2 linked regions of the Arabidopsis thaliana genome follow. The protein of the gene in region 1 interacts with the protein of each later gene in a pairwise test. Each region holds a gene or a part of one and is shown in the gene's direction. Other genes may lie near its edges.

The links. Proteins that work in one complex are often made in the same cells at the same time.
Region 2: the proteins of AGL77 (region 1) and AT4G31420 interact in a two-hybrid assay, tested with the Arabidopsis thaliana proteins (one large-scale study listed by BioGRID).

The regions. Positions count from the first base shown.
Region 1 is NC_003076.8:15,510,678-15,518,753, reverse strand, and holds AGL77 (AGAMOUS-like 77), read left to right. Parts: upstream 1-4,448; coding exon 4,449-5,729; 3' UTR 5,730-5,811; downstream 5,812-8,076. Other genes in the region: AT5G38730 (Tetratricopeptide repeat (TPR)-like superfamily protein), read right to left, coding at 6,063-7,853.
Region 2 is NC_003075.7:15,244,554-15,252,164, reverse strand, and holds AT4G31420 (Zinc finger protein 622), read left to right. Parts: upstream 1-4,106; 5' UTR 4,107-4,401; coding exon 4,402-4,506; intron 4,507-4,776; coding exon 4,777-5,343; intron 5,344-5,434; coding exon 5,435-5,604; intron 5,605-5,706; coding exon 5,707-5,925; intron 5,926-6,021; coding exon 6,022-6,178; 3' UTR 6,179-6,349; downstream 6,350-7,611. Other genes in the region: AT4G31430 (flocculation protein), read right to left, coding at 1-294, 372-510, 591-670, 781-859, 950-1,004, 1,108-1,172, 1,267-1,456, 1,714-1,884 and 5 more; AT4G31410 (E3 ubiquitin-protein ligase, putative (DUF1644)), read right to left, coding at 6,691-6,727, 7,017-7,611. UniProt on the Arabidopsis thaliana protein: Pre-60S-associated factor involved in the cytoplasmic maturation of the 60S subunit. Involved in the dissociation and recycling of other late pre-60S factors before newly synthesized large ribosomal subunits enter translation.

The DNA.
Region 1 (8,076 bases):
AATATTCAGCTTCACGTTACTTCAAAATCCTGAAATGTTTTGAAAAAATTAGTTATAGCAATGAAGCTTTGAAGTTGGATCAAACAAATGAAATTAAGTTATAGTAAAAACATGCCTGGAAAGCACCTCCATAGATCTACTCTTGCTACTTCAATGGAAAATTGTACTCTAGTTTTGATGAGAGTTCTTGGTATCTTTCAACAACCAAACGAATAAGAATCCTTTATAGTGAAAGAAAAGAAAAATTGTATTAATGCTGAAGATTGTTGTATTAATCCCATGAACACTTATTAACGAAATCCATCTGAAACAGTAGAACTTCATAACCATATATTAGCACAAAGACAAATATCTGATAAAAATCAAAGTGAAACCTGGAAAGGGAAGCAGAGTCTTTGTTCTTCACCGTGCAAGGATGAAAGAAGACCTGCAAAAAAAAAATTCCCAATTCAAGAAAACACAAAACTTCAAGTAAATTCTCAATAACAAAATTAAACAATTACTTCTTTTCAAAATGTGTATTTTGATTGCTCTAAATAGATCTTGACTTTGGACTCGAATGGCTGCATCAAAGTAAAATGAAATGTGAAAAGTGAAGCAAACCAATGGGTGTTTGATCAGTACAGTACTCAAACAAAATATTTGTTTTTGAGAGACTAATATAATCTTCTACGTCTGAAGAAGAGAAGAGAAAGTAAGTCGAAAGACTAAGCATAAAAGAAATAAGAAAGATTGAAGAAACATACGCAAATATGACGCACGACCATTTTAATGCTCCATTGCGATAGATCTGAAATAAGCAGAATGGTGTATCCATATAAGAGAGGCACGCCGAGACATTATTTGCGTCCGATTTGAGAAGACAACAAAAACTAGTAGAACATACTATATAAGTTCCAAACCATAGAAAGAAACCAAGACCTGAATATGATTTTATTGAATTATCATGCAAAAGCTTTACTTCCACAAATCTGAATCTTGCTTAGCTTTTGGTTTTTCTCTAGAACTTGATCTCTCACATTTTTTCACAGCTACGGATTGCGGTGCTTTAAGCTAACAAAATCCAAAACGGTTTACAAATAACAGTGTTCCATCAGTGCAAATGTATACAAGACCAGCAATACATACATAACCAAAGGCAAATTGTCCGATCCAATAGAATTATCTTGAGATTTGGAAATGGCAACTTACAAGTAGGAGTTCGTGGCTAGTTGATATTCTTGTTTTACTCTATCGTGCAAGTTCTTCCAGCAACTTATGCCACTGCTTATACCACAGACAAATAAACCTTTCTCTAGCTTATTTCGATTAATATAATTGTATATTGATTCAAGATAAGTTAAAATAGTTATTCCTTATCTGATTCACACGATATTCAGCCTTACAACCTTGTGTTAGAGAATCCAAGAATGTGGTTGCAAGTAAACACCAAGCTCTCAAACGGTTTGAGTCAAACCCTGAACAATTAAAACTACTAAAAAACAAAATTAGAAACAAAGAGAGAAAGTTAAAGGGAAAAGTACCCTTTGAGAGTCTCCATCTGTAGAATTTCAAATAGTAACCTAGTACTATCTAAAGCAAAGTACACATTTTAGTGGAAAATAAACTGAGATAAGAATATGCCAAGCGATAAGGATAGAAAGTAAGAATTTTAAAACAAGTTCAGTAGTTAAGGAAGAAATACAGTAAAGAAACAGGAAAAGCAAGTTAACCAAAGAATTAAGTAAAAAAAGACAGTATGTAAGAAATCAAGCATGTAAGCAATGAAACAAGGAAGCCAATTAACCAAGGAATTAAGGAAGAAAATACAAAGGCAAGCAAGTAAGCAAAAGAGTCAAGGAAGCAAGAAAGGAAACAAACAACCCAAGAAGCTGGTAATTAAGCAAGGAAGAAAAAATAAAAGAAGAAAGCAATCAAGTAAGGAATGAAAGCAGAAAATATGTAAGCGAAAGGATCAGAAAATGAATCAAGGATGCAAGTGAGAAGAAATTATAAATGTGTACAAGCAAATATGATGCATAGATGTATGCATGTAACAAGTACGTAAAGACATAATCAAAGAAACAGAGAAGAAATTATGAATGTGCACAAGCAAATATGATGCATAGAAGTATGCGTGTAACAAGTACGTAAAGACAGAATCAAAGAAAAAAATAAGGAATCGAGTTAGCACACAAGTAACCAAAGAAGGAAGCTGATTAGTAAGCAAGGAATGAAGAAGAAAAAAAAGTAGCAAACAAGCAAAGTATTTAAGTAAGTAAACAGAGTATCAGACAGAGAATCAAAGAAGCAATTATGAGGGTGCAAGGGAAGCAAGTACGCAACTAATCCATGTATGCATGTATGTATGAATGCATGGATGCATGAATGCAAGCATGTATGAATGCATGGCGTGTATGTATGAATGCATGAATGTATGAATGCATGGCGTGTATGTATGAATGCATGGATGCATGAATGCATGGATGCATGAATGCAAGCATGTATGAATGCATGAATGTATGAATGCATGAATGTATTAATGCATGGCGTGTATGTATATATGAATGTATGAATGCATGGCGTGTATGTATGTATGAATGTATGAATGCCGGCGTGTATACGAATAAGTGCCTGTAAGTATACACATTCTTCAATTGATTTGCGAATCCAGAATTCTCTGTTTTCTGAGTTCTAAGAAACGCCACATTCTAGGCTCTGGACTTTGCACCTGAAGAAGAAACGTGACTTAACATCATATTCAAAGACCAATATCAAAAGATCAAGGAGGAGAAAAAGATTGAATAGATCAAATATTTGAACAAAACCAAAGGCACTTTGTGTTTGTTAACATAACTAAGATTAGAGCCGCTTCCTTGGTTAACTATGATGAACCATCATCTTCTTCTTGTTCTCAGGCAAAACGATCTGTAAAAAATAGAAAAGTAAACCAAAAGAATCAGACCAAGAACCAAACCGGAAACACAGTGATGCAGAACAAAATCTATACCAGATACAGAGCATCACAACACCACTTGATCTTTGATTCCCATTCACAAAATCTAAACCTAATACAGATATCCCAATCTCGCGATCGTTTACAAAACCAAATCAAACGAATCACAAAACTATCGTAGATGGTATTGAGGAGGAAATAACAAAATTGATCGAGACAAATCAAACCCCAAAAGATTAACACACCGATGGAACAAATTAAGTAACATAAACAAAGAACGAGAGGTGTTGTAACAGTAATCGAATCAACTAATCAAGTAACAGAGAAACACAATTCATAAACAGATCATCGGAATTGAGAATTCATAATCATCGGAATTGCCTCAAAGAAACCCTAAATTCGAGAGTTTGATAACTAACCAGATAATCGATATACCTAGACGAAGTGAGAGATCGTCATTTCTGGATCATGATCGTCGCCGACAATTCGTCGGTGAACCAAGCAAGATCGCCGGAGAAAAAAAAACTTCTCCAGACATTTTGCAAAAAAAATTAAAATTTAGGGATTTCTAAAAAGTGAGAGATATCATAGAGAGATTTGTAGAGGTTTTTCTTCTTCTTCAAACGGTCTAACTCCAATTTTTTCCGCTATATAGAAAAATTCAAAATTTGAAAAATCAAGATTCCAAGACTAAGACATGTTTCGAAAAAAAGAAATTGAAATTCCAGCTGTGACACGTCATGATTATCATGTGCAACAAGTTTGAGCTTAACCGGGATTTTAACATTTTGGTTTAGTGTGAAGGCCTGAATGTTTTTGGTTAAAGCCTAACCACTGTGATCTCATGAACATATTTAGATTCGTTTGGTTTTGGTTTTAAAATGTGACATTAATTCTAAGTCCAACCCAATTAGATCGAAGCAATTATATGTTATCTTCCCAACCCAAACTACGTATTTTCAACTATACAATGAAAATTAAAAGTGACCAAATTAGGCGACACAGAAACGAACAGGTCCAATATATAATAGTTTGGGCCGCTGTAAAAATATACACGTTTGGGCCAAGCCTAGTAAAAAAAAACAAAAATTTGGCCTCTTAACTACCGATTCCAAAATTGAAATGTAGCGTTTTGATTATTCTTCTTTAAATTGTCAGGTTCTACGAAAACCCTAACCAGAGAAGCTTGCCAGCGGCTGAAGAGTTCCGACGAAAGCAGAGGAAGAAAAATATATCGGTTAACCGACCGAACCGAAACACTGGGTAACCAAACATAATTTACAAACCTTCCGATCGGTTTTCCTTTCCTAACCGAAGCAAAGCCCGGAACCAAAAATTTCGGTTCGGAGCGGTTCGGAATTATCGGTTCGAGTTTGTCTCGCAGGCCTACAAAAAAAACTCTATAAATATATGACATATCTAAGGGTTTCCTTAACCTAATTCATTAGCTTTTTCTCTTCACTCTGAACGTGAAAACAAACACAGAGAGTTTGTCTTCAAAATCAACAAGAAGATGACGACCATTCGATCTTCACCTTCTTCCTCTCGTTGTTCCAATTCGTCTTCCTCTTCTTCTTATTCACTCGCTTCCACAAGTTTGTCTAACAGACTTGAGACTATATTCAAGAAAGCTTCAGAGCTTTGCACTCTCTGTGATATCGAAGCCTGCGTCATCTATTACGGACCAGACGGAGAACTTAAAACATGGCCTAAGGAGCGAGAGAAAGTGCGAGACATTGCTCTGAGGTTTAATCAATTAAACGAAGCCTTGAGACACAAGAAAAGCGTTAATCTTCATGGGTTCCTGAACAAGAAGAAGAAGAACAAGGGTTTGAAGAATCCGAACAAGAAGAAGAAGACGAGTCTTAAGAACGTGAATGTTTTAAAGTATCCACTCGCTGATCATTACTCTCCCGACCAAGTTTCTCAATTGACTCAGTCCTTAGAACTCAATGTCTCTAAATTCCAAGAAAGGCTTCGATTTCTTGAGTCGCAGAAACAGAATGAGACAAAACCGGATCATCAGAGTTTAACATCAATATCTTCTCTGAACCAATCTTTGAACCCTAGCCAGTTCTCGCTGTTTATGTATAACCATGGATATAATACTCTGTCTCAGATCCCAGTCTCTGCATCAAATTTCAATCAGGATTATATCTCAGCGTTACTTGAACAATCTGAGTTGAAGAGTCAGATAATGAAGCAGGAGGTTTGTGGTTATGAGCAGAACATGTGCATGAGTAACCATGGAGATGCTACGCTCTCTCAAATCCCATTCTCTGCATCAAATTTCAATCAAGATTTTTCAGCCAACAACAACTTCCAACATTCTTTTGTCTCAAACACACAAGATTACTACTCTGTTCAAAAATCTGTGAATAACAACTATGGGTTGAAGAATCAGTTAATGAAGCACGATCTTTGTGGTTATGAGCACAACATGTGCATGAGTAACCATGGAGATGCTACCTTCTCTCAAATCCCACTCTCTGCATCAAATTTCAATCAAGATTTTTCAGTCTCAATACAAGAAGAATCTGGCTTGATGCAGCAGGAGCTTTGTGGTTATGATCAGAATCAGAACATGAGCATGGGTGACATCACAAACAACAATTTTCAAGTTACTTGCGCCTCAGTACTAGAATCTGTGAACAACTTTGGGTTGAATCAGTTGATGCACAAGGAGTTTTATGGTTGTCATCAAAACATGTCTATGGGTAACATCAATAACAACAGCTTTCAACATCCTTGGGTCTCAAACGCAGACCATACTCGGCGGTACAAGAATCTGTGAACAACTTTGGGTTGAATCAGTTAATGCATGCAGCATGAACTTTACGGTTACGGTTATGCAGACTTTTGTTAATTTCTTATGATTAATTTGATGTGTTGTTGTTGTTGTTGAAATGTATTCAGATCTACAGCTTGTTTACGGTTATTAGTTGGATAGTATTTAGCAGTACATGCACTTTCACTTTCCATAAAGGTCATTATTGTATCATGATTGATGCAGAGGATATCTACACCAGTATTCTTTCACTCTATAGTAGCTAGAAACAACAAGTACTACGTAGCTTATTAGTGTCTTTTAAAGTACATATATATAAATGTGATATGTTGGCTCACTTCACAATACCTCGCTTCTGTTCATTTCCCGTAAAATACTCTTCGATATAAGACATCTATCACCTACATGACTCCAAAAGAATCTCAAAACATCGTTATCACCAGCGTAAGAGGCACTGATAGATTTATAAAGTTTCAAGTTTACCATTAACCGTCGATTATACATTACATCGAACAAAGCAGAAGCTTCAGTGACCTTCCCTGTTCGCCAATATGCATACGCCATGGTCGTGAATATAACACTATCTCCCACTAAACCCTTCTTTTCCATTGATTCAAATAACACTTTGGCGTAATCCACCTGTTCTAACTTACAAATCCTTCTTATTAATCCTCTGTATAGAGCAACATCAGCACAAAGACCTCTTTTTTCAAACTCCTCTAGGAGTTTTGTGATTTCGTCTTGCTTGTTCTGGTTATAGAATCCATCCACGAGCCAAGAATAGGTCGCATATCCAGGAGAGAAGCCTTTCTCTATCATAGAGAACAGTTCCTCCTTTGCATTTTCCAGTTCCAACACTTTACAAAACCCATGAATCAATGCTTTGTATGAATACATATCCAGTTTTAGCCCTGATTCAATCATCTTCTTCTTGACCTTCACTGCAGATACCATGTCTTCGATTTTGCAATATGCGTTGATCAAAGTATTGCAGGTGATATTATCAGGTTCAATCTTTTTTCCACTCATCTCAGTCAAAAGCCGGTTAGCTTCTCTTATTCTTCCATCTTCACATAACTTACGCAAAATCGAATTATATGTCACAACTCCAGGAGAAAACCCTCTTGACTCCATTACCTCACGTAACCTCAAAGCTTCATCAATATCATTCATTCTACAATATCCATCAATCAAAGTAGTATAAGTAACATGATTCGCTGTAACATCGTCTTTAATCTCCCGAAACAGTCTTGTGGCCTCTCTCATTCTACCTTCTCTACTAAACCCATGTATGAATGAATTATAAGTGACAATATTAGGAGCAACACCACTTCTCTCCATCCTATCTTGCACAGATAAAGCCTCGAAATGCATACTCTTTTTGCAGTACACAGAGATCAACGTGTTATAGGTAAAGATATCAGGAAACACACCTTTTTCTTCCATCTCACTCAACAATTTCTCAGCTTTCTCGGGATCACCAGACTTAGAACAAGCATGAACCAATACATTATACACATGAATGTTAGCAACAACACCTAACTTAACCATCTTCTTGAATATCTTCCAAACAGTATCAGTCAATCTCTGCTTCACCAGACTATTTAGTAACACAGTACAAGCTTGCAAATGAGGCTTCAATCCACAACTCCTAATCTGCTCAAACACCACAATCGAATCGTTGATCATCCCGGCTTTAGCGTAATATATCATCAACCAGCTAAAGACGTGAGATACATCTTCTGGGTCTTCAGAAACACCACCAACTAAAGATCTCAAAACCAGAGGAGATGACAAAAGCTCTCTCTGAGCCAATTTATCGAGCAGTTGGTGTGCAGTTTTGAAATGCTTGTGTTTTGTGAGAATCAAAATCATTTTCCATGATGATTGTAAACTATGTTTGCTACTTGGTAAAGAATCGGTCCAGATAAAGAAACTCCATGAAAGAGAAGGTCCACCATAACCAGAAAACAGAGAAAGCTCAGAGATTACCTGAGTGGTTATCGCTGATTTCAATAACCCAGAATCAACTTTGTGTTTCAGAATATTTTTCCAGTTTCCTTTCAATACTGTTGCACAGATGCTTTGTGCAATCAAAGCTTCTCGATTTGCTGACAACAAATTCACCATTGTTGTTCCTCAAGTGTTGTAGGAGTAACAGAGAAGAGCAACGGCGATAAAGAGAAGGCCTAAACCGGTTTGAATTTCTCCAGTAGATGAACCAGACCAGATTATTTACCAATTAACCGATAAAGGACTGAATTCAAAACCGGAAGCGAATCGATTGTTTTGGAATATCCGGGAAACGGCCCGAGAGAAAATACGTAATAAATCGAACTGAACCCAATTTTAG
Region 2 (7,611 bases), on another chromosome or scaffold:
CCTCTACCTCGGCCTCTTCCTCTTCTGCTGTATGCCAAGACCTTGGTATTTCCCGGGCTGCTACTTGCTGAGTTTGAGTTAGGTAGAGACTGGTCTCCTGGGAGCCACTCTTCTTCATGGGTGCTTGAACTGTTAGAGGCACTTGAGTGGCTGTCATTGCTTTCGTTATTAATTGCACCATCTGAGCCATTCCCTACTGTCATATCATCACCATGAATTTCAGCTATAGGCTGAGAAGCCTTGGTTTCTTCTGGTGGTGTGGGTTTTGGTTGACCTTCCATAACCGCTGGTGAACTGAAAAAGTAAGGCTTTGCTTAGGAGGAAATAATGTCATCATGTCAAACTAGCCAGACAAAGGAGTTGCTTTTCACCTAGGTGATGAAGATGGGAAACCGTTAGAAGTATGACGTGATGCGCCTATTTCATCAGCTTCTTTTGATGTTTCAAACACATCTTTAGGGATGCAAGAGTTCCCAGTAGGATCCAAAGTTGCCCCAAGAGCCAAGACAGCTGCATCAATAGGAGCGCAAGTAAATTAAGAGAACCCAACTAAAAATCAGAACCAAAGGAATTCAACATCCAATGTATACCATTTGTGGTGTTTCCGATAGTAGAAGTAGGTTGGATAAAATCGCCATCTTGATCATTGAAGTCATCTACAGCAGTTCCACTGTCGCATACAGTTGAAAAACTTCAGAAGATTGATATACTAAAAAACATATCTGTCAAAAAGAAACAAGGTACAATCTGTGTTGGAAGGATAAGCACAATAAAAAGAACCTTTGAGGAGCGGTATTCGTATCTTCAGATGGCTTGACTCCTTGTGTGGAGATAAATGTCTCCTCCAAACCAACTCCACCTAATCAGAACACATTAAATCCATGAGACAGAGTATAAAAAGCGAAGATGAGAGAGTGTATACAAATTAAGGATTAAGGGAGAAACTAACGAGATCTAGTGTGTAAAACTCCTGTTTCTTTGACGGCTTGATTAGCTTCCGTAGTCTTCACTCAAGTAAAACACACAAGGACACCAAAACAAGAAAGATTGGAACTGCAAGTTTTTTCTTGGTAATGAGAGACACATAGTGTAAAGAGTGCTTGATACCTGATTGTGCTCAGAGGTAGGTATGGCTGAATTTGGTAGAGCTCTGCTTTGTTCATTCCGTACAGCTGAAAGAACAGAAAAGAAGAGTTAATTTCAGTTTCAACTCATGTCTTACTGAAAAACTTCTTCCACGTGTGAATAAAGAAAGAAAAAAAACACCTCCATCAGCATTCAAAGACGAAGCATTTCCTTTGAGCATATCAGTCGCTAAAACATAGGGGCTGTATTTAGGTTCCAAAGAGGCTACACTACTGGGACTTTTAAGCATTTCCTCGGTTGCTTTAGCTCTGACTTTGCGAATTTCATCTTGAATATTCCATGACTGATTAGAACCGGACTTCCTTTTCAGCTGCATTTGGTAACCAATGTCAGAATGAATAAGGGTAAATTTGAGAGAGCCATTGAAAATACATATAACGGTATGCAACTTTTCTTTAGGAATAGCTGGAAATAGTGTCCCACAAATTCCTCGTGGTTATCTAACATAAACAATAGAAGTTAAGCAGAGAATTTTATCTCATAAACCAAGATGAAACGACTTCAGACTTTCAAACAACATTTGACCAAAAGAAAAGTATGCACTGCTGGAGAACTTAAAATTCTAACCTTGGATGAGGAAAAGTTTCCAGCGCTATAAGGAAGGGGTGTCCCTTGCACTCTTGCTGATGATGGTGATCGAAAATCTAAATTATTCGCAGCTGGAGATCCCCATGGCAGACGAGCTCGCATATAAGACTTGGCCACGTCCACAGGCGATCCAGCACCATCTTCAGTTGCCTGGAGATTTAAACTAATGGCTGAGATGGTGATCATCATTTAAAGTACAATGGAAAAAGAATACTGTGAAGCGAAGCTATCAGAAGTTGACCAAAATCATGTAAGTAAATGGTCTTCATAGTCAAAAGAAGAGCAACAATATGGATCTTTTGCATTTTAAGCGGACAAAAAGGTATTTCCCAATCAGGACATTTCAGAATTAACGTCACCAGATGGCCACACGCAGAATTCTGAACAACCTACTTTTGCAAGAGAGCTTTAAGTTGCTGATCACATGGATTGGCATATAACAATCAAATCATTTTACCCAAACAGAAGATGTCTCCTTCTATAATAATAATGGCTTAGAGCACGGAGACAAGATATCACAAAAAAGTTGATACCTGCAGGCTGCAGCAATTAGAACAGTTAAGAAGCAAGTTTCCAGAACTTACTTTATACTTTGAACTTGATCCTGATTTCTTCTCCTCCAACCATTTTCTTGCTTCCATGACAGCTGTATTGGACATTTCACCCACATTCACGTCTAGAAATAAAATAGAAAAGAAGACGTTATCACATAGACTAATCCGGTCTACTTGCACAGTCTACCATCAGTAACATACCGCTTGTCAATCCATAGTCATCATGACTCGTCTCAATAGCAGAGGGGACGCTGGGATGATCTACAACCCTAGCCTTGATGATATCTATTAACCTATCACCCTCTTCCCTGAAACAACATACACATGAATGAATAAGCAGGATACAAGATCAGCTTAGATTTGGTAACTACACACGTCTCAGAAAGATTCTTTAAGCTATGAGGTGTAAATAATAAGAATAGTCGAGGAGGCTGCTACTTATGATGTCCAAAAAGCCAGGCAGAGAAATACCTTGCAAATGTTTCTTGCAAGAGAAGCTGCTCAATTACACGCTTAGAACTGAGTCGTTGAATGCTTGGTTGCTGGGCACTCAGAAGGTCCTATTCACACAAGCACAAAAACTGAAATTATGCTTTTATAAAAAAAACTCTCAGTTGAAAACGTGTTAGCTTCACGAACTTTACTTCAAACAATTATCATAGGACTACAGTGGCATAGCAATCACCAAAACGAACAAGGTGGTTAGTACCTCTTCAGTAAAATCGGGATTGTTCTTCTCAACATCCTCATCACCATCAATATCTGCAAACAAAGAAGAAAACATATAAAAATCCATACATTAAAAGAATAAGACACAACAAAGCTGGTTGGTATTCTCAATCCCAGAACTACATTATATGAATAAAAATTAGAGCTTTAGAATTAGTATGAAGTTTATAGCTTAGAAGTAACCTAACTAAATAGAGTACAACAATGCTTAACTGCTCTTAAGTCCCACATATTAAAGGAAAGAGAAAATGGGAAAGCTTTAAGTCAAACTTCACATTTCAAACGAAACGGTAGCTTTCAGATTCGACCAGACAATAAACCAAAAATTCAAATTAATCCTATCTAAACTGAAATAAATGGTACAAACCTGAAGATGAATCCTCGTCCTCCTCCGAAGATGAGGAAGAGTCGGAGAAGACGACGGAAGAAATGAATTTTCCGGCGCCGGAAGCAATTACGCTGGCGGGTTTGTAAACGAGCCTGGAGATCCAACTAGGGTTTTGCTGAGGAGGATCTCGGGATCTCTGAACGGGGCGCTCACACGGCGTCCTGACAACAGCGGTGCGTCGTGGTCGAACAATTTTCCCACCGACTCGAGGCTGACCTGCTCCGGCGGCGTAACCGGAGACGGAATCCATGGTGAAAGTGAGAGGAGGAGGGAGAAGTTCGTTGTAGGAAATAATGAAAGTGTTGAGGAAAAATTGGTAATTTCTCGTTATTTGTCGTCTTCTTGTTTTTTTTTTTAATTGGGGGTGAATAGTTAGTTTCCTAAATTACAGGCCTGCGGTTAAAATTTCTTCCACTAATAAAATTAGGCAAAAACAAAACATTGCGATTAAAAAAAATTAATCGTAGTAAAATCATGTATTATATTCTTCTCTTTTCATATTTTGAACATATCACATGATGTTTAGATCTTATAAATGCAGTAATTTAATAGAGAGATTAGAATTTGGAAGAAAAAAAAGTTACATGATTAAACGAAGTAATTAATCAAGTTGTAAGTAGTTATTTTAAAAACAATATTAGAAAAATGTTTTTTGGTTACTCATACAGTAATACTTAATTCGTCAACTGTGTCAGTGTTACAAAAAGGCTAAAAGAATGGGCCAAATGGGCTACTCTTGTATCGGGTCAGGAACGGGTCAGTTCCAACCCGATCGGATCTAAAATGGGCGGGGCGCCTTCCTTTTCATTTTGATGGCAATCAATCATCATCAATCGACGCTTTTTTAGAGACAAACACGATCGCCGATCCATTTACGAGCCGTCGTTGCTCTACACATATCAACAACAAATCTTATCCTCCCAACTATCTTTTCTCTGATTTTCTTTTCTTCTCCAGTTTCCATTTCTAGAATCGATCGATATTGAAGGAGAGAAGATGCCTGGTTTAACATGTAACGCGTGTAACATGGAGTTCAAGGACGAAGAAGAACGTAACCTTCATTACAAATCCGATTGGCACCGCTACAATCTCAAGCGCAAGGTTTCATTTCTTCTGCTTTCTCTATCGAATTTGAACTCAAGCCTATCTGTTTCTCGGGAAAATCTTGCGTCGGTGATGAGATGAAAGTTTCTGAGAAACAGCTTTTCCATTTTGCTATCGAAATTGTTTAGTTAAGGTTATGGAATCGTAGAGTTTATATGAAAATTTGTTTTGAAGCTTATTCTACTAAGGAACAAGGATTTCAATAATCATAGATTTGGTTACTTCTAGGCATTTGAATCTTTGTATTTCTGTAATTTTTTATGTTAGGTGGCTGGAGTTCCTGGAGTTACAGAAGCCTTGTTTGAGGCTAGACAATCTGCTCTTGCTCAGGAGAAGAATAAATCAAATGAAGCACCTATGCTTTATACTTGTGCAATCTGTGCTAAAGGTTACAGGAGTTCCAAGGCTCATGAGCAGCATCTTCAGTCGCGTAGCCATGTTTTGCGGGTTTCACAAGGGACATCAATCAACGGAGAGGAGGATATAGCGATTATCAGGCAACTTCCTCGCCGTGTTCAACACAGGGGTTCCATTGATGATGATAGTGAAGATGAATGGGTGGAGGTTGATTCTGACGAGGAATTGGCTGCTGAAGAAGCCTCTGATTCTTTGTCTAAGTTGAATGTGAATGAGTCTGGATCTGCTGAAGATATGGATGATGATGGTGATGCAGATAAGTATGAGCTGGATCCAACCTGCTGTTTGATGTGTGACAAAAAACATAAGACCTTAGAGAGCTGTATGCTTCACATGCATAAGCATCATGGTTTCTTTATTCCCGATATTGAGTATCTCAAGGATCCTGAAGGGCTTCTCACTTACCTTGGTCTTAAGGTTTGGACTCATCAATTTACCATTCAGTGTTCGTTGTTGTCAAGCTTTGAAATTCTTACTCCTGTTTACTTATACATTGCTCATCATTTAGGTCAAGAGAGACTTCATGTGTCTGTACTGCAATGAGCTGTGCCGTCCATTCAGCAGCTTAGAAGCTGTAAGAAAACATATGGAAGCAAAGAGTCATTGCAAACTGCATTATGGTGATGGTGATGATGAAGAAGATGCTGAGCTAGAAGAGTTTTATGACTACAGCAGCAGGTTTCAACTCTCTTCTATCTCTGATTATTCTTGTTCTCGCCTGTATTCCTCGTTCTATGCCAAATCTTAATCCGCACCTTTCTTTGGAATATATGAATTGAGCAGCTATGTTGATGAAGCTGGAAAGCAAATTGTTGTATCTGGTGAAACAGACAATACTGTAGAACTCGTTGGTGGTTCTGAGCTCTTGATCACGGAGAAGTCCGAGAACACAACAACGTCTAAAACTCTCGGGTCCCGTGAATTCATGCGTTACTACAGACAGAAGCCACGCCCAACTTCTCAAGACAGCAACCAGATAATTGCCTCTTTATCTTCAAGGTTTGTTTTCTCCAAACCCGTTAATCATCCGAGTCTATCCAATCAGATAATCGGCAAGGTAAACTAAGGTTATTCCAACAAATGGTAAATTCTCAGGTACAAGAGCCTGGGTCTGAAGACAGTACCGTCGAAAGAGGAGACTTTGAGGATGAAAGTGCGCAAGGAGATGAGCAAGAGAGGCGAGACAATGCGTACCAAGATCGGAGTGAAGAGTAATGTCATAAGAAACTTGCCCAATAACGTCCCATATTAGTTTCTGTGTATGTGCCACTTGTTCTCAAGTGTTGGATTGTATGATGATTTCATGTACTTTTGAGTCTTTGACCAAGTTGTGTTGCTACTTGGTAATAAGAGTAAGCTTTAAAAAGAGTATGTTCACTGAAATAGAAATGTTAAAAATTAATACACGAACGTTGACTTCTGATTTACTCTCAATATCTACATTGTCCAGAGATGCATGTAAAACAAAGAAGAGACAACGACAAAAGGGTACTACAATATCCCAAAAAGGCTTTTTGTTTAGTTTTTGTACAAAGGCTGCGACTGCTGCGAGTAATGTCACAAGACAAACCTAAAATAAAATTTATGTGTAGAAACAAAAAGAAAAAGAAGAAAGAGGTCCAAAACCAAGAACACTGGCTACAAATAGGCTGGTCTGCATCATTTGCTTCGCTTCATTTTCCAGCTGACTGAGAAAGAACGAAAAGGAACATTACAGATTCACAAGAAGACAGTACCAAAAGCATAGAAACAGAAGGTTAATACCTAATTTTCATAGAAGCGGGTTCGACGCCTTCTTGAACTGTAAATCAGAGAAAACAAGGCATCAAGCAATGTCTCTTAAGTAACCATCATATATAGCACAAGAAAGCTACTAAACCAGGTCAACACCCCAAGCTATTATGCCAGAAATATCACACAATGGGGCCTGATTAGCTAATTTGTCATTCAAGAGGTGCCTAAAAACCAGGCTCACTGGTAAGCCTTTAATATCAATGCAGAATAATTATAAACTATGAAAGTAAGAATGTATATCTCTGCAGACAGCAACAATACAAAATTAGTGGTGTAAAGCTATAGATTATTCTGACCTTTGGTGCATAGAGCTACTTCTGTTAGCTCCACTTGTGCTGATGAACTCGTCATCGATCTCATCTACTCTATACTCCGGAAACTCTATGGATGCTACTGAGCTGTCATCAGAGTTGGAATTCTCATAGCTAGAGCGGCGACTCCCTCTCCTACTCTCACTCATTCTTGATCTTCTTCGATTCCTGGCATTCCTTATATTGTCAAACATTTGATAGAGAATACAAGATGTCCACCAGTTTCCTTCATTGTTGGGAACATCCTCAAATTCATCTCCTGTGTCATCATCTCCATATTCGATCACATAGTCCCCTAAAACCACTCCTCTTGGAACTTCTGAGTGAATTGTGCTCAACACGTCGATTATTTCAGACGACTGCTGGAAATTCTCCCAGTCAAGCTTCCGTGCTGGATCAATTTCTGAAGGACGAGAATCCGGATGCTCTGACTGAGCATGTTTGCGAAGCTCCAAGTAAGTACCCATAAACCTGCATCGTTCTTCCTCACAGCAACGTTTTTTCTCATCAAGACGAAGACGAGCTTCTTCTACAACAAGCCAGCCAGTAACTTCTCCTCTACACAGTGGACACACAGGTT